Linked DNA regions of Oryctolagus cuniculus. The protein of the gene in region 6 interacts with the protein of the main gene of each other region in a pairwise test. Links are inferred from orthologs where the notes say so. Each region holds a gene or a part of one and is shown on either strand. Other genes may lie near its edges.

Region 1 (3,500 bases), on a different chromosome or scaffold from region 6:
CTCTGATTTAAAGCAGTGGGGAAAGAAAGGAGCTTAATGCAATCAGCTCACTTTCTTTCTCCTCCCTCTGGTGAACTCCAAAAGCTGTAGAAGATTCTAGGGTTTCTGGATCTTGCATCAAAAGGGTCAATTCCCACAGCAATTTAATCTAGTTTCTGGAATAGGACCTACGGCCTCCAACGCAAATGTTCACTTTAAGGGCACCAACTTCAATCTAAGTCATGGGAAATTATTTTAGCATCATCTAATCTCTAGCAAAACAGAGCAGTAGTTGCCTCTGGGAAAGAGAATGGGGTGGGAGGGCAGCAGGTAAACCGTTTGCATTTTGCTTCATAAATTATCTATGCAAAAAAAATTAATAATAAATTAAAAATTTTAAAAATCTTTAGTCCTCTTTCTGTGATTTCCTGTACCTTGTTGTCCATAATTGTCCACTGGCCCTCAGGATTCTGCTTCAAAACACAGTGCTTTCTGGAAATCATCAAAGGGCAGACTTTTGACACCAGTTGGTATGTGACACTAAATCCTCGTCCCAGAGACACCTAGGAAGGTAACAACAATGAAGAGACACAATCAATCATTATGCGAAATAGGGAGGCCCTCTACAAGCTTATCAACTAGTGTGGTACACAGATCCTGACCTACGAAACCCGGATTCCTGCAAAACCTACATAGATCCTCGGCGATTTCCTCTTCAGCTGCCACAAAGCCAGCACACAGAAAAAGGAAAGAAGTTACAAAAAGAAGAAGCTGAAAGGGATTAACCATGGAATGTAAAGGTTAGGAGGTCCTGGAAAGGTCATCTGGTTCAATCACCCATGACATTAAGGAATTATTTCCACACATCCCAATCAACAAATCTAAAACACAGCCAAGAACCACAGCGTTTAGATGAGACAGGCCCCCTGCTTTTCCAGTGGTCCTTTCTCCCTATACATTCCATCCATTGGCTGAGGCTCTGTCCTGGGCACTATCAGAAAATCCCCAACTCCCTTTCCAAGTCACAGCTATCTACCAAGTCTTCTCTCTTCCTGGCTCAGGAACCTAGTTACTTTAACCTTCCTCCAATGTACGGGTTTGAATCTCTGTCATTCTAATTGATCTGTGAAAGGACTCCTAGCTTATCTTTATTCCTGGATGTGGGGAGCAACCCGGACTAGACTGAGTTACTGGAATTAAGACTTATTCTATGCATCTGCTCTCCCACAATATGGCGCTGGGAGAGAAGAAAACAGCTTCTACACAGCTGCCTCCAGTTCAGCCAATAAACTGTAGGACTCGCTCCTGATTGGAGGAGAGCAGCGTACTCGGCGTGTGGGCAGCCGAGTTAGGATTGGCGGAGGAGGACTATAAAGGAGGAGAGAGACGGCATGCACCAGGAACATCTAAGGGGAACACCTGTGCAGCCCCCGAGAGAGCCGGCTGGCAGTGTGCCGCTCCCCTGCGGAAGTGGGGAATGTGGCCAGGGGGAACTGCCCTTCCACGGAGGTGGAAGGGACAGTAGCCAACCCGGGAAGAACCAGCAGCAAACCCGGGGAGGGCCGAGCAGACGAAAGAACAGCGCAGGGTCCTGTGTCGTTCCTCCACGAAGAGGGGGAGCGGCATAATGGTGCCATGACTCGGATATGAAGCCTAGGCAGGGTTTAGTGTCGTTCCTCCACGAAGAGGGGGAGCGACACCTGGATGCCATATTAAGAAAAATAAACTTAATTTCCATTACATAATCAAGGCCAAGCATCACTTTCCCAGTTCTTGATATTACCACTGCAGCATATAAATGGCATTAGCTTTCAAAGCAGATCCAGTGCCCTGGAAGGATATCCTCAAACTTAGAGATGTTTCCCCTCCCCCAAGAACTGCTATGCTAAATCATGTTTCTTCCAGCCTGTACTTGACTAGTTGGAAAAATCTGGATTCCAGTGCAGGACCTTACATTGATCCCTATTAAATTTCATCTTGTTAGTTCAGCCTATCACACCGGCTTGTCAAGACTTTTCTGATTTTTAATCCGCCATCAGATCAGACATACTCAATATTCCTTGCAGCTTTAAATCATTCACCAAATTGATATGCTTTCTGTACCTTCATCCAAGACACAAATATACTGAAATGGGATGTAGCCAAAGACAAAGCTCTCAAGAAAGCTTCTACTAACAGTCTGAGTGTAGCTTCAGTCATAATCCAATCCGAGTTTCTGCACTGAGTCCAAGTCCTCTGTCTCCCACAGGGACAAGGCTGAACAGAACGCTAATTCCCAACTGTCATGCTTTCCTGACTGACCTGTCTGGTTCACACAGCCCAGCGAAGGTGGGAAGTGAAACTCTTCTGTCATCTAGGCTTAGAATTCCATGCTTGCTGTTCTCAGTGCATAAACCACCTCCTTAATGATCCACATTGTAAACGTAGCTGGCAACATTAAATTAAAACCTGTGGTTTTTGAAAAACTACTCTTTATCGATTTTAAAATCTTCAGATTCACGCCTGTTTTCCTCTGTCCCTCAGACTGAGGACCGTGACTCTCTCTGACCTAATCTATTAGGTTTCCACAAACTCTCATCTCAGTAACCGACACTGCCATCTATACAAACTGCTCAGCCCCAAACCCACAAGCCCTCTTTGATCGATCTGTTCCTCAGCCCCAGATCTCAACTGGCAGCGATTCTATGGCAGTGACTCAAACACATCTCAGCCTACTCATTCCTATCCCCATGACCCCTACCCAAGTCCAAACCACTGGGCTTCTTGTTCCTGTTCTCATCCTCCTTAACTCTGTTCACACACACACCGGCTGGAGTGGTAATAAGAACTTTAAATCAGGTAACTTCCTTTCTTCCTTTAAAATCTTTCAATGATCCAAACTTCTTCCCAAAGCCGTAAAGCCGCCAATGTCCTGACCGCCTTCATGCCTTTCCCTTAGTGCCATGCACAGCCCAGACGCTAGTTGTTTCAGCCATCAGGCCTTCTCTTCATTCTGTCACCTCCCGCTCCAACATCCACTGACCTGGGAGCCTTCTCCCTTGTCCACTTGGCTTGGGGCACTCACTTCTCAGATCTTTATGCGGTGCTTTGTCACCTTTCAAGTTTCAGCGCCTCAGGTCTTGTTGCTATCTGCTCCCCTCCCCCATTGTATTTCTTCATGTTATTAGCATGCAGTTACCATGATCCAAAATTATCTTGTTTTACTTTTCCCTTCCCCTTTATTAGAATATGAACATCATAAGCAGGCACTTTATCTTTTTTTTTTTTTTAACAGCCAGAGTTAGACAGTGAGAGAGAGACAGAGAGAAAGGTCTTCCTTCCTTTAGTTTACCCCTCAAATGGCCACTACAGTCAGTGTGCTGCGCCGATCCGAAGCCAGGAACCAGGTGCTCCTGGTCTCCCATTCGGGTGCAGGGCCCAAGCACTTGGGCCATCCTCCACTGTCCTCCCGGGCCACAGCAGAGAGCTGGACTGGAAGAGGAGCAACCGGGACAGAATCTGGCGCTCCAACCAGGACTAGA
Region 2 (4,038 bases), on a different chromosome or scaffold from region 6:
CTCGGACCACCGCAGTAGCCTGCAGCGGCGGGAGCGCACAGCCCCCTCAGAGCTGCCCACTGCGCTCCGGCCCCCGGGGATCCTCGCCCCGCGGAGGCGCAGCTGCGGGCAGAGCGTGGTACGGAGTTGGGTGCCCGATTCGCCTCGCCTGCTCGTCTCTTCTCCGCCCAGGATTTATTGTCTGTGGAGCCTTCTGGGGGTGGGGAAGGAGCTGCGCCTCCGCCACCGCCACCGCCGCCGCCGCCGCTGCCGCTGCTGCTGCGGTCGCTAGCGCGGCGCGCAGGGCAGGCGGAGGCTGGGGAGTGGACGCGCTCCTGCCTCCCCCGCCGGCGCTTCGGGCTTCCCCTCGGCGCTTCCCGCGGGAACCTCTCCAGCCGTCCACCTGAAGGGCACCGGCACCATGGTCTAACGTGGCACCTGCCTGGAATCCCCTCTTTCTCCTCCTCGTCCTCCTCCTCCCCTCTCCTCCTCCTCCTGCGAGGACCCTCGCGCCCACTCCACTGCGGACCACCGAGCACTTTAAGGAATAATCCTTGGCAGCTGCACCTCTCTCGCTCTCCGGAACCTCATGGGCAGTTTCTCCCACCGGCCATGTGAGTAAGGCACTTTCTCTCGGTGACTGAGGGGACTGCGGGGGTCTCCCCGGAGGTGAGGGTCTCCCTCCCCCCCGGGGGGGGCGGGGGCGGGAGGGCGCGAGGCTGGGGCGCTCGTTCCGAGTAGCTCGCACGGTGGCCGCGGAGGCGGCGGCGGGGATGTGGTAGGTTTCAGGGCTTTTGGAAATTGGGTGCTAACTGGGCGGGTGCACGGGAACACCGAGTGGTCTGGGCTGGCGAGAGACCCTAAAGGGTTACATACTGCGAAAAGGAGAGGTAAAGAGCGAACGTTGGGAGCTGGTGCTGGGACCACTGCTCCAGCTGAGGTTTGGCTAAAGCTCCTCTTCGTTATCTTGGGCATCTCGGTTTGCTTTTGCCAGGAGGTGTCTGAGGGATGAAGCGCGTGTTTAATCTCTCTCTCTCTCTCTCTCTCTCTCTCTCACACACACACACACACACACACACTTGTGGCAGGTTGCACTTGTCCCTTTATTGTGGAAGGTGTTGGATGACTGTCTTAATTCGTATGGATTTGACAAATGCAGTTAGGAGATCTTTATGCCATTGGGGTTCGGTGGGAAAGGGTGGGGTTTGTGGGGATGGAGTGGAGGAAGGACCATGACAGGCTGGGGGACAGAGAGAAGTGGGGTGGCGGTAGGGTGAACGCTTTCCCTGGGAGTCAGGGAGAATGATGGCCCCCTCCGCTGAGCTACACAACTCCTGCCTGCACATCTCCTTTGTGTTGCACTGAGAAGCTGGTGAACCTGCACTATTCCCCATCCAGCCGGGGCCCCCTTCAGCATTTTGCATCCTCCTTTCTGAGGCGTTTAGGATGCAGGACTTGGTTCGGATCCTACGAGGAAAGAAGAAGGGAAGCACATTAGCATTAAGGTGATCCTGGCACCCTGGCTCGCGGGCAGTTAGATTGGCTACTGGCGGTCTGCAGTTTTACTGTTTGCGGAGTCAAGAACAGGGGCGGCGGGTAGGGGGTGCATGGATTGCTTTTAAAGACAGTGTGACTTCATAATAGACGAGATGGCTGCAAAATTGCTTCATTACACTACTTCTCGGCCATCAGGGCTGAATAAAGGACCCGCCTCCGCCCTCTCCTCCCTTTCCTCTCTCGCAGCCTCCTCCCCACCAAGGCACAAAGGGAACGAATTGGGGAGGGGGGGCGGGGGCGGGAGCGCGCAGCGGGAGGCGGAGAAGGGAAGGGGTCACTTTCACAACTCCCGGGAATGGGCTTCAGAAAGGAACCATCTGCGACTCCCACGTTCCTTTCGGAGTTCTCCTTCCAAAAGCGAGGGGGGTGGGGTGGGATGGGTGACACACGGGGGTCTTCCACCTGCTCTTTTCGGTTACTTTCCCAATACACCTTGGACATACCGAATTTACTTGCAGGGGTAACTGGGTCAGCAGGTAAATATACGTACCTGTATACGTTGAAATGTAGCCCTCGTGATGGATGAAAAGCAGTTTGTGTGTGAGCAAAATTTCTAAGCACAATAGAGATTTTATAGCGTGGGCGAGAAGAGTGCATTCCAGCGAAAGCAGGACACGTGATCCCTCCAACGGGAGAGATACAGTGTTAGGAACTCGGTTTTCTTTGTTCCAGGCTGAGCCTATGAGATGCTTAGCATCCCGGCTGCTTAAGTCGTTCTATAAAAGGGCAAAATAGTCAAGTTGGCCAGAGGTGAGAATAAAGGGGGAAAAGATCATGCGTAAATCGATAAGCTGTGAAGGGCTTGAAACCTCCTCTGCCATTTCTTTTTTACTGCCCACCTTCTGTCTAACCCCTCCCCCCAGCCGGCCCCCTATTTAAAAATCAGGCATTTCCAATGGGAAAGCGGTGGAAAAGTTCTCCAGCCCCTTCACACGTGGGCTCTTCAGCGCCTCAGAACCTGCCTGGATTCCAAACAGAACTTACCACCTCTCCAGTCCCAGTGTCACGCCTCTATCCTGGGCTTCATTAATCTGACTTCCGGATTCTAAGGGAACCACCAGGAGATCTTTTTTGCAAAAGACAGTATGATACTCAAGTCCCTGCCTCCTGGAAACCCCTGATCCCAGCTAGGAAAGAATGAGAAAGTAGGGATGTAGGAATGTTTATTTTTCCTTAGGAATATCAAGACAAAAGCATACTGGAGGTGTGTTTAGCAAGGACTGCATTTGGACTCCTGTGTTATCTGAGGGCTGTGAAATGTCCTACGGTCTGGTTATTCATTAATTTAGTGGAGTTAGAACCTACTGCCTACCCAACACTAATTTAGAGTGACCTGACTTGGAGATTTCTTGTATCATCTTTACTCCACTTTTTATAAGCCATCTTAATGGGCTGAAGTTTTTTAAACTGTGGGCTATTTCTGTCTCCTACTTCATTGCATCATACTAACTTGTGTGGTAAGGAAAGCAGAATCAATTTCCATAACATATCATGAGAACTCCTTATACATTTTTTAAACATTTGACTGTCCAAGAAAAGATGCGTACTTAACCATGGCAACCGTTACGTTCTCCATCACTTATGCTTGCACATATGCAGCTTCAGAATTAGAAACAACTTCCTAAGGAAACAGATCTGGTCCAATTACAGTAGCCATGTTTTATTCAGAATTTTAGCATAGCTTTAGGCTGACATTAACATTTTCTTAATTAAAATCTAATTCTACTTTCTTTCACGAGCTTTTAATTTTTTTAATTCCTCTGTAAAATATAGAACATAGACCTAAAGTATTGTTGTGTTTGAATTTATGCTTTGGATTTTTTTTAAAAATGGAAAGATACAAATTAATATGAATCCTTATTTCTTAATAGAGTTATTAACCATATTATCTACCTGGTGTTAATTTTTCGGGATATTTCTCAGCCCTTCTTTCAATACATAATATTGTATGATACTATTTGATGTAAAAACCTAATATCTTTAACCATGACTTAAAGCATATACTTTTTAACAACACTTGGAAACTTCAGACACATTAGATTTTAATAGATATATCAAAATTATATCTATTGATATTACAATTCTATTTTCTGAAAGACTTTGTTCTCATTTTAAAGGGGATCACACATTCTATAATATTATAATTGCATTCCAGAGTCAACCAAGTACACAAAGAGTAAACAACTATTGATAAATTATCATTGGAATTATTTATGGATTCTCATTAAATTTTCCATATTAACAAATTATTTAATATTTTTCAAAATTCTGAATTTTGAAAATATATGCTACTCATTCAACCTGTCAATTATAACAACCATTCATAAAAGACATTATGTAATTTATTGTTCTAGTAGCAATGACAGGTTGGTAGAGTATTATCCACATTATTTTTGTGAGTCTAGTTAATCAGTGGGAGATGTTGAGTATTTCAATATTTTAAATGTAATGATAATATTAAGATAGTGGTTTATACTAGAGTGTAACAGTTATAACCTATAA
Region 3 (3,215 bases), on a different chromosome or scaffold from region 6:
TTCTGGGTTGATGAACAACCTCTAGCTCCGGGGACCTGGACCGCTGCAGATGGCGTCTCTGCTCAAGGAGGCGCATGGGCAGGTGGGCAGCTCCATGTTCCTCCACAGGCAGACAAGCAAAGATGGCCTTCGTCAACTCTGTGGCCAAGCCGCCTCGCGACGTCCGAAGGAGGCAGGAGAAGTTCGGAACGGGAGGAGCAGTTGTCGCTGACAGAATCAAGTAAGCGCTCTGTTCTTGCTTGGGGAAGAGAGCTGGGAGGTCGTCTTCCCCACTGCGAGGGAGCCGTGGGTGCGGGAAGCAACTCGCCCATGGTGGGGATGGCCCTCGGCCAGCTCAACGCTCTGCCCCCCGAGCCTGGACTCCTGGACAGCAGCATAAGGCAGATTGTTTTCCTGTGCCTTAGGGCTGTCAGGATTAACCTGGACACAGGACCCGGCACAGCGGAAGCACTCACTGGCTTTCCTTTTCCCTGTTTAAGCAAAATTATTGCATCTAAGCCACATAGACATTTTCTCTTTATTTAAAAAATTTTTTAAAAATTTTATTTATTGGAGAGGTAGTTACAGAGAAGGGGAAAGACAGAGAGAGAGAGAGGTCTTCTATGCGCTGGTTCACTCCCTAGATGGCTGCAGCAGCCTGGCAGAAGCTTAGCCTGCTGTGCCACAGTGTGGCCCCTACATGAGCATTTTCAGAAGAGAGTCCGGAACCTAAGAAATGAAAGGAGATGAAGCCAGCGTTGTGGCACAGCGGGTAAAGCAGCTGCCTGTGGTGCCTGCATCTCGTGTGGATGCTGGTTCGAGTCTTGGTTGCTCTACTTCCCACCTGGCTCCCTGCTAAAACACCTGGGAAAGCAGTGGAAGATGGCCCAGATGCTTGGGTGCCTACACCCATGGGAGAGGCCAGCCCCAGCCATTGCAGCCGTATGGGAAGTGAACCAGCGGGTGGAAGATCAATCTCTCTCTCTCTGACATTCAAATATTATCTTCATTTAAAAAAAGAAACAGTGAGAGTTGAGGCTCTCATTCATTCTGAAAGGCTGATGCAGCAGCCATCCCTGTGCCGCCACCAGAATCCAGGGCGCCCGCATCCGCCGGTCAGAGCCGCAGGAGGAACCACACTGTCCGTGCTGAGGGCAGATCTCTTCTGCTCGTGACTGCCCAGCTGTGTTCTTGTTACAGGATTAAGCCCGCCCCGTACACCGGCGGAAGCAGCCACACCTCCGGCAGCAACAGCTTTAACGCCAGCCCCGAGGAGCCGGCCTACGACGGCCCGAGCACCAGCAGTGCCCACCTGGCGCCAGTGGTCAGCACTGTTTCCTACGATCCTCGCAAGCCAACTGTGAAGAGTGAGTAACTCGGGTTCCTGCTGAGCCCCCTGCATGCAGCGACTGTTGCATTGCGTCCTGTGTGTGTGTGTGTGGGGGGGGGGGTGTTGCTTCTGAAGGACGCCTCCCAGGCGCTGGGCTGCACGGCGGCCCCTCCTCCCCACCCCGCCATGTCGGCGATGGTGTGAGATCGTAGTATTGGAGGTAACATGAGCCTGTTTCTCTGGGGAAGTGGTCGTTACTACCGACAGCTAAGTGTAACATCTTACTTGAGTCTTATAACCTTCTAAATATTTTTTTTCTCTTTTTGGATCTATTTTTTACTTTATTAGCTTCATTACCATAGACCAGCAGTAGTCTGTGATAGAACCGTTTTTCTGCCAAGGGCCATTTGGATATGTATAACATTGTTCGCTGGTCCCATGCAGAATTATCAACCCACAAATCAGCCTGCTGTAGATGTATTGAATCTTGAGTGCCGCCTGAGGTTGCCTTGGCAAGGCCAGCCCAAAGGAGCTGTGGGCTTTGCACGGCCCACGGGTGCATGCACGATCCCCAGGATCCCCAAGGGAGTCCTGACTTAAGTATTTTGTGTTCTTGGCTGGGCCCAAGCATCAGGTTCACCTGTTGCGAGTCAGGAGTTTGTGCGGCTCATCTCGGACTTGGACAGCATGAGGGACGGCGGGAGTGCTGGTCACTGATTGGACATCTGCGAGGCCACGTTAGATTACTGCCGAGTCTGGCAAGGAGGGAACCCCAGCTCTGCCCTGACACAGTGACCGTGGGCCCTGCGGGGGCCGGGGTGAGAGCGGCGGCCCCGCCCACAGGTCCTCAGCGAGTGCCGCTCTGTGCTGTCGCCTCTGTTGCGGTGTCAGCAGATTCACTGATGGCATCCGTCTGTCTGCCGGTGCACAGCGGAAAGGGGAAAGGCTTGGCGCTGCTCGCAGACCCCGGTGGTGCCGGCGCGTGTCTGCGCCGCCACAGATCTAAAGCGACTGCCCGGTTTCTTTCTACAGAAATTGCCCCGATGATGGCCAAGACGATAAAAGCTTTCAAGAACAGATTCTCCCGACGATAAAACTGAGGGCCCTCCTGGGAGCTGGAATTGTTGGGGGCAGGAAGAGAACAGTGGAGGCCGGGGGTTGGAACTTCCGAAGGAGACCAGGAGCCTTGCGTGGTGAAGACGGTGGTCCCTGAGCGCGGGCGATGCCCGTGCGCCCCGGCCCGGCCCCACTGCCTGCAGCACACTTCAGGATTCTGGAGGAGACGTGAAGCCTCAGTGCACTGAGGATTTTAAGGTCAATTATACTTTTGTTGTTAATTAGCATCTTTGTAAACTATAAGACATAGTTTTAATTAATAAATATTGCTCCCAGATTGTATTTATATTCCCCCCCCCAGCTTTTTTTTTTTTTTTTTTTTTTTTTTGTTTGGTCCTCTACCACTCACTTAGCCTTTTTCCCCCGGGTTCTTTATTAGAGTTCATGAAAAGTGCAGAACAAGCTATTTCCCTGTTCCAGCTCGGCTCTGCTGGGCGGACTCCGGTCCGGAGGGAGGCCTGTGTGGGACGAGGAGTGCCAGGGAGCGAGCCTTCCCGTGGGCCAGGACCGCTCCACGTTCCCGCGCCGCGGCATCTCTCACTCGGTCACTAGTGTTCATTTAGGGAGGCTGTCGGCCAGGGCGCCCGCTGCCCTCCATCCACTTTGTCAGTTACCGCTGTGTTTCCTGGGTTCTGTTTGTTTTGCGGCTCACCAGAGGGCACAGAACCTTGGGAGATGAATTTGTACCGAATCCCAGCATTTTGATAATTTCCAATTTCTGATTCAAAATTTCAGATTTTATTTATTTTTTTCCCCACTTTTCTATCTTTCCTGCTGTCCCTCGGCATGG
Region 4 (3,500 bases), on a different chromosome or scaffold from region 6:
ATGGACACCTACGCTGAAGACCTGAATTCAGTCTGGCACCTGCACAGCTGCCACGAAGACTAAGGGTTGGGAGCAGATCAAATGGGCAGGGGGGTCGGTGCTGAGAACGGCTGTCCTGGCTCTGCCTGGGGCCAGACTCCTGGCCCCTTCTCCCAGGGTGCCATCTCTCACCCTGAGATGAGTCTCCTTGGCTCTGTTGGAGGAAGGCCGAGGGGAAGCCGGGAGCCAGGGCCAGTCTCGGGTGCTCCCCAGGAGTCATCGGGCAGTTACTCCTGTTTCAGGAAGGTCTTCTTCCCTCACAAAGCACCCCACCTATGTGGTCCCACCACCACAACTGCACTATTTGATCTTCCGTATCTCGTTTTAAAACACTCTCGTTTTAAAATGTTGGGCATTTAGGTCTCTGTGTAAATAGAACTTTCCGATGATTTTGCTAGGTGCAGGCTAGCAGAACCCTGATGGAAGTGTGCTTTTGGCTCTCCTGGAAGAAGGCACTGTTGCTCTGACTGTTCTAGGTGGGCAGTTCTAGATACATGGAGACAGCTGGGTGTGGTGCACGGGGAGAGAAAGAATCAGGATGTGGGAAAGTGCAGGAGCGATTTGGCCTTCTTCATGGTTTCTCTGAGGCCTGACCTGTAGTGACTCAGTCCCCCGACCATCACCCTCACCTCATCAGGAACCATGATCAGCGGGTACTTGTCCTCAGACAGGAAGTTGAAGAGGCACCAGAGCCGGAAAGCGTCCTGATTGGAGAGCATGCTGTTCCCGTTGCTGTCCGCTCGGTAGTTCTTCTTCGCCGTCAGGGTCCAGCACAGCTCATCAAAGTGCTCTTTAACAAAAGCCCCCTCCTCCACCTGCCACCAGACCTGCAGGTGAGCCAGCTGCCCCATCCCTGCTCTGTCACCAAGCTAGGTTCCAGCTCAGCCCACCAGGCTCCACCCTGGACTTGAATAGCAGGTAAGCAGCAGGCTCCATCCCCCACCCCCCATATCCAAATCCCACCCAAATCCCCTGATGACAGAGGAATTCCAGTCCCTCAGCACAGGGGAGAAAGCGGGGGAAACCCAGGGGGCATGAACAGCCAAGGAGAACCTGGGAAGAAGGTGACAGGAGGACTGCTGGGAGGGGGCGGGGGGGGGTGGAGGGTCCCTTGGAGAGGTCATGAGCTGGGACACAGTCTGGAGGCCAGAACACAGATGAAGGACATTAAAGGGACAAGGAGGGGGGCTGGGATGTAAGGACAGGATGGGAGAGCAGGGATGGACAGAGAGGGCAGAAGAGCAAGCCTATCTGAGAAAACGTTGCAGTGGCAAGGTATTGGGACGCTGGCCGGGCTAAGGAAGCATCGAGAGGCTAGAGGTGTCCCACAAGCTGGGCCGCACCTTGTCCAGGATGTACTTGTTGAGGTAGGGCATATAGCCCTGGCTGGACACGGGGCCATCGTCGTCATCTCGGAAGTGCTCCTCCAGGGCCACGGGGTCATGGGGGATGTGCAGGACCGTGTACAGGTTGTGGGACAGCACCTGAGACACAGTGGCAGTGGGCCTTCCTATACCCCAACCAAAACCAGGCCAGCACTCCCACATCCCTGCCTGTCCCCACCCCCATCCTGGCTGAGGTCTCTGCACCCACTGTTCAGTTCAGTGATATGTAAAACTCATACACTTACCATGCGCCAAGCCCAGAGAAAAGTTCTTAATGTGTTATTCACTTGGCCACCATAACAACTACTCATATCCCATTTGCAGAGGATAGACCACCAGAGGCCCCGAAATATTCCTCATCCGAGGTTGCGGCTGGCAGAGCAAGGATTCCAACCCAGGCAGCCATAATCTCAACCACCCCATTAGGTCTACAGACAAGGACACGGAGGCCCAGGGGGCTCATTAACTCGCCCAAGGATCCACAGTGAGCAAGAGCTTGGGTTTCCAGGACTGTGTTGTGGTGCAGCAGGCTAAACCACCACCTGTGCCACTGGCATCCCTTATGGGCTCCAGTTCAGGTTCCACCTGCTCCACTTCAGGGATCCAGCTCCCTGCTAAGGTGTCTGTCAAAGCAACAGAAGATGGCCTGAGTGCTTGGGCTCCTGCCGCCCGAATGGAGCTCCATGCTCCTGACTTTGTTTTTTTTTGTTTTTTTTGTTTGTTTGTTTGTTTTTGTTTTTTGTTTTTTTTGTTTTTTTTTTTTGACAGGCAGAGTGGACAGTGAGAGAGAGAGACAGAGAGAAAGGTCTTCCTTTGCCGTTGGTTCACCCTCCAATGGCCGCCGCGGCCAGCGCGCTGCGGCCAGCGCACCGCGCTGATCCGATGGCAGGAGCCAGGAGCCAGGTGCTTTTCCTGGTCTCCCATGGGGTGCAGGGCCCAAGCACCTGGGCCATCCTCCACTGCACTCCCTGGCCACAGCAGAGGGCTGGCCTGGAAGAGGGGCAACCGGGACAGAATCCGGCGCCCCGACCGGGACTAGAACCCGGTGTGCCGGCGCCGCTAGGCGGAGGATTAGCCTAGTGAGCCGCGGCGCCGGCTCATGCTCCTGACTTTGGCCTGACCCACCGCTGACTGTTGCTGCCATCTGGGACATGAACCAGTGGATGAAAGATTCTTGCCTTCCTGCCTGCCTCTCTCTCTCTCTCTCTCTCTCTCTCTCTGCCTTTTAAATTGAGCCATCTTCTGCTGCTTTCCCAGACACATCAGCAGGGAGATGGATTGGAAGTGGAGCAGCTGGAACCCGAACTGGTGCCCATATGGGATGCTAGTGTCACAGGCAACTGCTCAACCCTATATGCCACAATGCTAGTCCCAATAAATATTAAAAAAAAAAAAAAAGAAGAAGAAGAAGAAGGAAGAAGAGAAGAGAAGAGAAGAGAAGAGAAGAGAAGAGAAGAGAAGAGAAGAGAAAAAGAAAAGGAAGAAAAGAAAAGAAGACAAGAGCTTGGAATTCAAATCCAGCCCTGTCAGATTCCAAAGCCTAAGAGCTTGCAGGGAGGTGGTTGCCACCCCAGGGCAGAAGTCCCGAATCTGTCCGTTTCCATCAGACTCAGCGTGCAGACTGCAGCTTGCCTAGCATCCAGCCGTGTGTGTCCTGGAAGGACCCCTCCGAAGACTGAAGGGAGCTGGGAGGGGTGAGAGAAGGCCAAGAGAAGTGGGGGCCACGGCTGAGAGGGCATCGTGGTTGTGACAGTGTGCAGGGAAATGTGGTTCATTGAACAAATGCATGATATTAGAACAAAGGAGTTGAAGTTTTCAAGACGTGATAAAAAAAAAAAAATTCATGTATCCAATGGCCTTGGGGTAATTCTGTAAGAGCTGTTAGCATAGTCGGTGTGAATGATTAGAAACAGTCACCATTGCACACTTAGCATGCACCAGCCACTGTACGAGAGGCTTTTCCCAGCCTCCTTCTAGTCTCCTGACCTTGTCACACAGGTATTATTATTTCTGTTTTTCAGTTGAAGATAAGGAGGCTTGGAGGATCTAAGAGTAAATGGCAGAGCTGAAGTTGGA
Region 5 (2,955 bases), on a different chromosome or scaffold from region 6:
CAGCTCTGACGTCTTCCTCTCCACGCCACTCCACGCCACTCACACGCACACAACAGACTCACATATTCTTGGCCAGCCCCTCTCTCTCCAATATAACTTGCCACTGCATTTATTACCTGGTGCTTTCATTGTTGACAGTTTGCCTCGCTACCCCACTACATTCAGAGCACCCTTTGTTGGATGTTAGGGTCTAGCATCCAATGAATATCTGTAGGAGGAGCTGGGCTGGATTGAGAGAGGTACATTACATGGAAATGAATTGAACTGAACCAAAATGACAATGGGAACACAAGACAAGACACTCTCACAGCAAGAAGATTGCATGTCACCCTGACTTCTTCATCAAGGGTCTTCCCAAAGACCCACCACCTCCAGAATCGCTCCTCAGTTCCCCAGCCATGCTGCCCCCCAGCCTCAACCTGGAGGGTCCTTATTGCTTCTTATGGAACAGAGCCGGGGCTGGCTCGTTGCTGGGCTCGGCCATGACCTGCATGGGCTGGTTGTTGAGGGCAGCCTCGCGCATCTTGTAGTACATGAACTCGTTCTGGCGGAACATGCGCAGCTCCATCTCCGTCTGCACCCGCATGGCCTGTGGGACACAGAGACACCATAAACAGGTGGCAAGGCCCCAGGACATGTGGCCTTGGGCCGACCTTGGGGTGAGTGGCTCTCAGGCACCAAGATTCAAGTCTTCCCCCAGGACACACACATACTCAAGCACCAGAGGCCTCATGCCCTGGCAGGGGCCCAGAGTGTTAGGGAGAGGGAGTCAGATCCCTGAGTGACTGGAGGGATTGTTCTCAGCAGAGGGAGTTTGTTCTCAGGAACTGAAAGTGTGAGGACCTGGATTTGAACCCTGGCTCCTGTGTTTAATGAGACCTCAGGCCAGTGACCTAGCCCTCAATTTTCTCACCCTTGAAATGGGAAACTTGCAGTGGGCTGGGAGAGAGCAGTGTGACACTCAGGCAAGCTCTCCTTCTGCCATATACCTGTTCAGAACATCCTTGCTAAAGGCCGCTGAGGGTGCTGAGGGTACCCCAGTGACTAAGATAGCAAAGACTGCCCTGACCCAGCAGCACGCAAGACAGAGTGGCTACCTCCACTTTCCGTTCCTTGCTTGGTCCCGTTTTATAGGGAAGAAGACTGATGACCTGCTAGTAAAGGGACAGCCACAGCTGATGTCACACTAGTCCTGTTACAGCCATTCTGCAAGCCAATGCATGACACAAAATCTGTCAGCTGTCCCTGGACTGCACCGTCTGAGGACTGCCTGTCACTCTCCAGCAAACCAGTCCTTCAAAGCACAAAGGAAACCAGCAGCCATTGCCATCACCCCACTTGTCAGATGCCGTGCTAAGGGCTTTTACACACGAATTCCTTGAACCCTCACCGCAATGCTATCTTCTTCACCCATTTTACTGATGTGCAGACTGAGGTCTACAGAATCAATATTTACAAACTCACACAGCTAGAAAGCTTCCCACTCTGGAATTTAATCCCGAGAGTGATTCCAGAGCTTTTGATCCAAAACTCCACTCTCTGTAGCACAGAGCACTTTCTAGGACAGATGGCTGTACACATGAACACACACACACTCACCGCTGTTGGGCTTTCTCTGGGCAGGCTTGGGCCATCAAGTTGCCACAGACTAAGGGTTCAAGTCTCAGCTTTGCCATCAGCCAGTCATGTGACCACAGACAGATGACTCCCCACCCCTAGGCCTCAGTCTCCTCAGTTGTACAACGAGGGGAGCAGGCGGAAGTGTTCTGAGTCCCCTCTGGGATAGATGTCAGTTTCTGGACTTGTCTGCAGCAGCGTCTACCTGACCTCAGACTGGTATCTTCAGGGAGGTCAGACTAGGCAGGGAGCACCGGGCCCTCGGTTCTACTTGCCTCTAAGTCCTTGGTGATGGGGTGGGAGGGTCCGTGTGTCACCAGGAGAATGGCGTAGGCTTTGCAGATCATCCCGTGCCCCACTTCAATGTTGCCAGCGTGCCAGTTGGTCAGCCCTGCCCGCATCACAGCCATGCCCAGTTGGGCATTATTGGGGTGGTAGAGCTTCCTGTAGGGCAAATAATCAAGACCCATCATGGCAACCATCTTTACAATTGTATGTCATTGGACAGCTGGTATAGTGCCCTTGTGGGTTAAGTCCTTCTGCTTCTCCCACTGGTGCTACAAGGCATCTGTGGCTGGCCAAGAGGGAAACCAGGTGCAGAGACTTGCCAAACACCTCCCCACCCCCACGATGAGGCTGTGAGAGCTAGCACTCAGACCTGGGCCACCAATCCAAGCCCTCTCGGAGAACAGAGCCAGGATGGCCCTCTGGGCTTGGATACAGGGAGCCGGAAGCTCTCAGGAAGGACTGCCACAGCCTCCTCCCTGGGGAGTGACGGGACATTCAAGGGGGAGACAGTGTTGTATTTTTCACCTCCATGACACCTCTTGGCAGGGGTTCTCTTTTCAGTACATTGTACAGCCCACCCGCGCTTTTTTTATGACTAGCAGCCTCTCCCAAGAAATGAACCTTCTTGTGCCAACTTACTCATTTGGCCAGAAATTCAGTCACATGCCAAAATGGGTACAGAAGGCAAGAGTGGTTATTTGCAGAGGGAAGGCAAGGGAGTCGCATTTTACAATTTATAAGCAAGGATGGCAGGTGTATCTTCTGTTTTTTAAAATAAAAGATAGTTTGCAAGATTGCTTATGCTGATTGTTAGGAAAGGTTTTCATTAAGCTGGAATTAGAAGTAAGAAGACAAAAAGCGTAAGATGCCACCCGAGTGGTAGATGAGATGGGGAATTTGACAAAGAACAGGGGTGACAAATAGGTTGTATCCCAAATCCCAACTCTGACTGGATATTGTGCTCAGAGGGTCACCATAAAAAGGCTCAGTTACAAAGAGAATCATTATTGATTACTAATGCCTGCTGGGGGTGCAGGAGGGAGGGTTAGC
Region 6 (3,128 bases):
CTCCGATCTCTGAGGAGCTACAGCTCGTATGGACCCAAGCAGCCCAGACCAGTGAGCTGGACAGCAATGAACACCTGCTGCAAACCTTCAGCTACTTTCCCTACCCCAGTCTAGCAGACATTGCCCTTCTTTGCCTACGTTACGGGCTGCAGATGGAGAAGGTCAAGACCTGGTTCATGGCCCAGCGCCTGCGCTGTGGCATTAGCTGGTCCTCTGAAGAAATAGAAGAGACTCGGGCCCGCGTGGTCTATCACCGGGACCAACTTCATTTCAAATCCCTTCTCTCTTTCACTCATCACGCAGGGCGGCCCCCAGAGGAGGTGCCTCCTTCTCCAATGCCACACCCGGAACAAGTCGGTCTTGGAATAGGTCCTCTGACTCCCAGCGCGCCCACTCAGGTGAAAGGACTGAAGGTCGAGCCTGAGGAGTCCTCTCAGATACCACCATTGCCACTAAGTCACCAGAAAGCAAAGGAGCCCTTGCTGACACCTGCCAGTGGAGCATTCCCCCATCAATCTGATTTTTGGCAGGATCTTCAAAGCAGTAGCCTCTGTAAGGAGCAGGCAGGTGGGGGTCCTGAGCAGTCACGTGCTGTAGGCACTGCTTCCTGGAACCACTCCACAGGTGTCCACCAGCCGCGTGCTAGAGATAAGCCCCCACCGGTCTCATTACTCGCCAGTAGTTGTAAGGAGGAGTCAGCATCTAGTGTGACTCCTCCTCCTTCCTCTACCTCTTCTTCCTCTTACCAGGTACTGGCTAATGGAGCCACTGCCACCTCTAAACGCTTGCAGCCACTGGGCTGTGTCCCACAGTCACTGTCACCCAGTGAACAGGCACTACCCCCACATCTGGAGGCAGCCTGGCCCCAAGGGCTAAGGCATAACTCAGTACCAGGTAGGGTTGGCCCCATGGAGTATCTCTCCCCAGATATGCAACGCCAGCGAAAGACTAAACGCAAAACCAAAGAGCAGCTGGCTATCCTCAAATCCTTTTTTTTACAGTGCCAATGGGCACGACGTGAGGATTACCATAAATTAGAACAGATCACTGGTTTACCTCGTCCTGAGATCATTCAGTGGTTTGGTGACACACGCTATGCCTTGAAGCATGGGCAACTAAAATGGTTTCGGGACAATGCAGTACCTGGTGCCCCTAGTTTCCAAGACCCGGCCAATCCTACACCACCACCATCGACCCGCTCTTTGAATGAATGGGCTGAGACACCACCTCTGCCGATCCCCCCACCCCCACCGGATATCCGACCCCTGGAGAGATACTGGGCAGCCCACCAACAGCTGCGGGAAAGTGATATCCCTCAACTGAGTCAGGCATCAAGGCTTAGCACCCAGCAGGTTCGGGACTGGTTTGACTCTCGATTACCTGAGCCAGCTGAGGTTGTAGTTTGTCTAGATGAAGACGAAGAGGAAGAGGAGGAAGAATTGCCAGAAGATGGGGAGGAAGAGGAGGAGGAGGAAGATGAGGAGGACAACGATGACGATGATGATGTGATCATACAGGACTGATGGGGGGGTGGGTGGGGCTGGAGATTGGAGATGAACCAATTTAGTAACTGTTTAAACAAAGAAACCACCTCTTTTTAATTACTTTGTGGCAAAGAACTGAAAAGCTCTCTGTTCTTCAGGGTGGGTGAGGGGCATAGAGTGAGGGTGGGCCAGGGAGGATGACCAGAGGACACAAAGGAAACCCAGGCCTCCAGCCTCATGGTAAAGACTACTAAGGATCTGGCCAAATGATGGGCTGGGAGCCGGCTCCTGCTTTCCTGTATCTGCTGGTTTTTCCCTCAGTATACTAGAGGCCTGACCTTGGCCCCGCATCAGCAGGAGGGCTGCAAAGGAGGAGCAAGCAATCCTGACACAGTTGGTTCCAGGGCATCCCCAACCCCACCATTTCCCCTAGAATTCAAGGCTGCCTTGCATCCTGCTTTTCTCTCAGAGTACAGGTCCATGCGACATACAGCTAAGAGTCTCAACATGTCCCAGTCTCATCACAAATAACTCCTCTTCCTCATACCCACCTGACGTTACCTTTCACCTGCCTCATCGGTGAAATCACACAGGCAGCAGAATGTTCTCATTTCCAACACTGGGACCACTTTGCCTTGTACTTTTTATCTCTTTCCAAAATCCCCTCTCTGTTCTCTGTTTGTCTCAGGGTAAATCTTCCCCCCACAGAGTTTGTGGAAAAGTTTAATAACGGTGGAGAATACTTTTGACTGGATATTTATTGAGGTGGGAGTTAGGAGAGATGTCCTTTTAAAACAGAATTATAAGGTTGGAAGAGGGATGGTTTTTTCTAGTCAAAGGGTGTTCCATGGAAGTAGGTTCCAGGTTTGGTTTTACAAACCTGACACTACCTCCTGTCCAGCTTGACAGAGACTGGATTTTCATCTTTTTGCTATCGGGTCAGTTTTTGTCCAGAAAAGAGGCTTTTCCTTCTCTCTAAAGGATCTGAATTGGAGACAAAGGGACCATTGTTTCTCATGGAATTTATTATCGATGTTTTAGAATGGTTTTCATTGGTTGGGTTCACATATAAAGCAAATAGATAACCATCTAAAAATAAGATTGGAAGCCTCTGATTGCTAGAATAAAAAGGCCAAAAATAAAACTGTTTCTCTCTTCTCCACTTTGCCACTTCTATGGTTTAGGAATTAATGGAACCAAGTCCATTCATGTTTTTATATTTTGAAGGGGCAGGTGTACTTATGAGGTGAACTGAATTTAATTAATGAGGTTAATTTAACAAAAAACTTTCAAAGGCAGCAGGTTAGCATCTGTCACCAGGCAGACTCTGCTTCCCAGCCGCCAGGTGATGAGGAGGAGGTCTGAGGCTTCAGCAGTGACAGTCTTGGAGACGACTTGTGTGGCCATTCCAGCATTCTAGAGCTTGTAACAATAGAGTTGCAATAGTCAATAAGAAGGCATCCTTTTCATTTTATTATCTACATGCTTGAGTAAGCTGAAACCCTGTCTCCAACTGCTACTTTGACAAAGGAAAATCAACACATTTAATAGTAAGTAGGCCTGGAAGAAACACAGGTAAACAGAAAAGTGTGATCAGTGAGGACAAAGACCAGAGTTGTTACTTGTTAACACTGGCAGTGGAAC
Region 7 (3,500 bases), on a different chromosome or scaffold from region 6:
TGACAACCTGCTGGGCCACCAGCCCCACGATTCTGGCCCCTTCCTTCCACCCAACCTGCCTCCCTTCCACAACCTCAAGTCCCCTCTTCTGCATGTCCCTCCCCCCGCATTCTACACACGACATAAATAATCCCTCTATGATCACTTTGGTAACTGACCAATCCTTTCAGTCTTACGTTTTCTTCTTTATAAAGTGGAAATAAAAACAACATCTACTTCATGAGCATGCAGTCTAAGGATTTAATAAAATAAACCATGGAAGGCTGACGGCACAGAGCCTGGCACGTTGAAAGCCCTCCAGAAAGGGTAATTTTGAATAAAAGTTTTATTTGACTAGTGCTACCATTGCCACTATAGCTAAACAGACCATCTTGGGTTCAGGTAGACCACAACTGAGCTTGGAGTCAAATTGTTCACAGTGTAGACCACTTAGGAGTGCAGAGAACGGCATCCCACAGGTGTCCGCTCGCACTCCCCTTATTATACTCCCCTCCGCTCCTCCCTCTGCATGAATCTTGATTGGCCTGGCATTTTGCTTGCCTTGTGTGTACTTGGAATAAGAAAGCATTCACTGTGTTGGAAATTAGGAACCCACAAGATAAATGGGTAGGGCATGAAACCAATTTTTCACCCATTTATGGGAGCCTAAGGACCTGTCTGTCTGGTGCTGCTTTGGCCTCCTAGGCCCCCAAGGCTTTCTCCTCTACCTTTTCCCAAGGTGAAGCGGGACAAGCTATCAATCTCTGCAAAGCAAAGCAAAATGACAGGGGAATTGACCATGTACACCTCACAGGACTGTCAGTGGAAAAATCAATGTCTAAATTGAAAGGTCAGCCTTGTGTAGACGGTGACGGGCTTGCTTGAGGCAGCTGAGAACCCCGACTGTGTTTAGTGAGTGTTTGGCTCTTCATGTTCACATCTGCTCAATGAAGAGCCACAGTGCACAATGTGGCCTGGCTCGGGCCTCTGTGCTGGACACAAATTACTTTGGTCAAACACATGTCTGTGGAGTGTCGCAAAGGACAAACATATCTGGCTGGGACACAGCCAGTGGCTGTCTACGTGTCTCCAGCCTCCAGAATGTAATGAAGTCCTAATTCCCCAGGTCACCTGCAGTGTAGGGATCTCCTGTCTTCAGAGAATTTGAGGGAAAGGGAGGGCTTCCTTTTACTGAGGGAAGACCTTCTCAATCTTAAGAAGAAGGAAGAAGAACGAGTTCAGGAAGGATCAAAATCAAACCATTAGGCCTTGCATTTTTAGCGTATGCTACCCTTTACCCAGAAGGAATGAATGGTAGCTGACGAGGAAGGGGCATTTACCATGTCCCAGGCACTGTTCTAGTACCTTGCACGCATCGTAATACGTCGTCCTCACCACAGTCCCGTGACATCCTCTCATTACCTCCTGCTCACCAGTGAGGGAGGTGATGTGACTTCCTCATCCCCAGCTCCGGGGGAGGAGGTCTGATTCCAGACCCTGTGTCACAACACCTGCAAAGCTCGCCCACACACAGCCCTAACACAGGAATAAACTTCCCGAGTATTCCACTGAGTGGCCCATTTGTCCAGCATGAGCACTCTCTACTCCTTCCACTCATCTTCCCTTGATGCCACCAACACACACCTAAAGCTCACATTGGGACTTTGTGCAGCAAGCAGGGGTACAGCACCTCCCTCCACCCCCTTTATCCTCCTCCTCATTCTCTTAGCTGTCTTCCTCTTGTGTGTCTCAAGTTCTCTGTCTCTTGTGTCCTTTCTCTGGTCTGCCTGCTTCTTACTAAAAAGCTGTCTCTCTTCTTCAATCTGTCTCAAAAGCCTAGGAGAAAGGAGTGTGTGTGTGTGTGTGTGTGTGTGTGTGTGTGTGAGAGAGAGAGAGAGAGAGAGAGAGAGAGAGAGAGAGAGAGAGAGAGAAGGGCAGCAGTGTACCTCTGACATGCCTGCCATACATACAACATTCAGCTAGCCAGTTATTTGCTGCCAACATCAGCAAATAGCACTAAAGAAAGAATAAGGTCACCTCTCAAAGACCCTAAGAGAATGAGAGTGTAGTCCAATTAGGAAAGCACTTAACTACTCTGGGATATCAGCACACACTGCTTCCCCAGCCCCGACCACACCCACTGTCTGCCGCCCTGTTGCTGACATCTCTGTCGTGTCATTCCCCAGATGGATCCTTGCAGAGACCCGTTCCATCTGGGATCCCCACCCTTGTGGTGGGCTCCCTCAGGCGTAGCCCCACCATGGTGCTACAACCTCAGCAGTTCCAGTTCTACCAGCCTCAGGGGGCCCCCTCATCCCCCTCAGCGGTGCTGGAGGTGGGTCCCAAACCTGCTCCTATGGGAGAGCCAGCCCTCACCTGTATGAGCAAGAGCAGCGACTCCAGGGTGCACTCGGCCGCCAGCTCTCTCATCATGGAAGGCAAGGAAATCCCCATCAAGAGTGAGCCTCTGCCAAAACCGCCTGCTTCTGCTCCACCATCCATCCTGGTGAAACCCGAAAACTCAAGAAATGGCATTGAAAAGGTAGGAGGGGCTTAAATCTGCAGCCCTGACTCTGCAGGCCTCCAACTCTGCATGGTGTCCCAGCTCCTGAAACTTTAGTGTTAGCGGACAAGGAACAAAACTGCAGCCTCAAAAGAACCCCCCCACACACACATCTCCATACCCATCACCACTCCCAGACACGCTACTGATTATCTGTTGTGCTTCCCAGGTATGTTACATGAAATGTGCTTTTGGCACCAGACAAATCTTGATTTGAATTTCAGCTCTGCTGCTTGCTGGCTGGGCAACTTCAGCCAACATACTTCACCCTCTTGAAACTATTTATTTAGTTATTTATTTAGCCTAATCTGTTAAAGAGGAATAAGAATAACAACAGCCACACAAGAATGGCCTTTTTGGATGAGAAGATATAGGAAGCATTTACATGGGGTTTGAAACATAATTATTGTATTAAAGAGGCAACTAAGACTTCCAGGCCAGGGCTTTTCCCAGAGAAGATACAAGTCTTGAATATTCTTGAAGCAGGAGGGATGGTGGAAAGAAGAAGTGACATTAAGAAAATCAGGTGATACTCATTGTGCCTTTTAGTTTTTTACACACCACCACCACCATCATCATAACCACTGCTATTACCACCATCTCACCATTACCACCTTCCTACCACCATCATCATCATCAATACCACCAACAGCAGCAGCACTCCCACTACCACCATCATCCTCACCACCAACAGTACCACCAGCAGCACCACCGTCATCACTACCACTGTCACCACCATCATCATCCTCACCACCATCAGCACCACCACCAGCACTACAACTACTACCATTACCACCATCATCACTACCACTGTCACCACCATCACCACTAAGAGCACTACCAACACAGTTACCACAATACCACTGTCACTCACAAATGCAAAAGGGATGTGGGTTCCTCCTATTTGGTAAGCACTTACTGAATACTAACAACCTGATAGGTCTTCACAAGTCCCATC

Evidence for each region.
Region 1: the proteins of HOMEZ (region 6) and RNF8 interact in binary tests that used the Homo sapiens proteins (3 or more experiments, as listed by UniProt). The two-hybrid records come from large-scale screens. The link is inferred for Oryctolagus cuniculus from reciprocal best matches to the Homo sapiens genes HOMEZ and RNF8.
Region 2: the proteins of HOMEZ (region 6) and LRRC7 interact in a two-hybrid assay, tested with the Homo sapiens proteins (2 studies listed by BioGRID). The two-hybrid records come from large-scale screens. The link is inferred for Oryctolagus cuniculus from reciprocal best matches to the Homo sapiens genes HOMEZ and LRRC7.
Region 3: the proteins of HOMEZ (region 6) and ELOA interact in binary tests that used the Homo sapiens proteins (3 or more experiments, as listed by UniProt). The two-hybrid records come from large-scale screens. The link is inferred for Oryctolagus cuniculus from reciprocal best matches to the Homo sapiens genes HOMEZ and ELOA.
Region 4: the proteins of HOMEZ (region 6) and DEF6 interact in binary tests that used the Homo sapiens proteins (3 or more experiments, as listed by UniProt). The two-hybrid records come from large-scale screens. The link is inferred for Oryctolagus cuniculus from reciprocal best matches to the Homo sapiens genes HOMEZ and DEF6.
Region 5: the proteins of HOMEZ (region 6) and SMYD1 interact in binary tests that used the Homo sapiens proteins (3 or more experiments, as listed by UniProt). The link is inferred for Oryctolagus cuniculus from reciprocal best matches to the Homo sapiens genes HOMEZ and SMYD1.
Region 7: the proteins of HOMEZ (region 6) and SH3RF2 interact in a two-hybrid assay, tested with the Homo sapiens proteins (2 studies listed by BioGRID). The two-hybrid records come from large-scale screens. The link is inferred for Oryctolagus cuniculus from reciprocal best matches to the Homo sapiens genes HOMEZ and SH3RF2.

Annotation. Positions count from the first base shown.
Region 1 is NC_091436.1:132,279,698-132,283,197, forward strand, and holds part of RNF8 (E3 ubiquitin-protein ligase RNF8), read right to left. Parts: intron 543-3,500; coding exon 414-542; intron 1-413. UniProt on the Homo sapiens protein: E3 ubiquitin-protein ligase that plays a key role in DNA damage signaling via 2 distinct roles: by mediating the 'Lys-63'-linked ubiquitination of histones H2A and H2AX and promoting the recruitment of DNA repair proteins at double-strand breaks (DSBs) sites, and by catalyzing 'Lys-48'-linked ubiquitination to remove target proteins from DNA damage sites.
Region 2 is NC_091438.1:102,839,357-102,843,394, reverse strand, and holds the start of LRRC7 (leucine-rich repeat-containing protein 7), read left to right. Parts: upstream 1-1,238; 5' UTR 1,239-1,425; coding exon 1,426-1,484; intron 1,485-4,038.
Region 3 is NC_091438.1:147,226,842-147,230,056, reverse strand, and holds the end of ELOA (elongin-A), read left to right. Parts: intron 1-108; coding exon 109-220; intron 221-1,179; coding exon 1,180-1,346; intron 1,347-2,341; coding exon 2,342-2,403; 3' UTR 2,404-2,715; downstream 2,716-3,215. UniProt on the Homo sapiens protein: SIII, also known as elongin, is a general transcription elongation factor that increases the RNA polymerase II transcription elongation past template-encoded arresting sites.
Region 4 is NC_091436.1:134,127,577-134,131,076, forward strand, and holds part of DEF6 (differentially expressed in FDCP 6 homolog), read right to left. Parts: intron 1,524-3,500; coding exon 1,383-1,523; intron 855-1,382; coding exon 669-854; intron 1-668.
Region 5 is NC_091433.1:115,839,260-115,842,214, forward strand, and holds part of SMYD1 (histone-lysine N-methyltransferase SMYD1), read right to left. Parts: intron 2,062-2,955; coding exon 1,893-2,061; intron 590-1,892; coding exon 431-589; 3' UTR 1-430. UniProt on the Homo sapiens protein: Methylates histone H3 at 'Lys-4' (H3K4me), seems able to perform both mono-, di-, and trimethylation. Acts as a transcriptional repressor. Essential for cardiomyocyte differentiation and cardiac morphogenesis.
Region 6 is NC_091443.1:51,758,801-51,761,928, forward strand, and holds the end of HOMEZ (homeobox and leucine zipper protein Homez), read left to right. Parts: coding exon 1-1,523; 3' UTR 1,524-2,628; downstream 2,629-3,128. UniProt on the Homo sapiens protein: May function as a transcriptional regulator.
Region 7 is NC_091437.1:33,520,294-33,523,793, forward strand, and holds part of SH3RF2 (E3 ubiquitin-protein ligase SH3RF2), read left to right. Parts: intron 1-2,165; coding exon 2,166-2,521; intron 2,522-3,500. UniProt on the Homo sapiens protein: Has E3 ubiquitin-protein ligase activity. Acts as an anti-apoptotic regulator of the JNK pathway by ubiquitinating and promoting the degradation of SH3RF1, a scaffold protein that is required for pro-apoptotic JNK activation.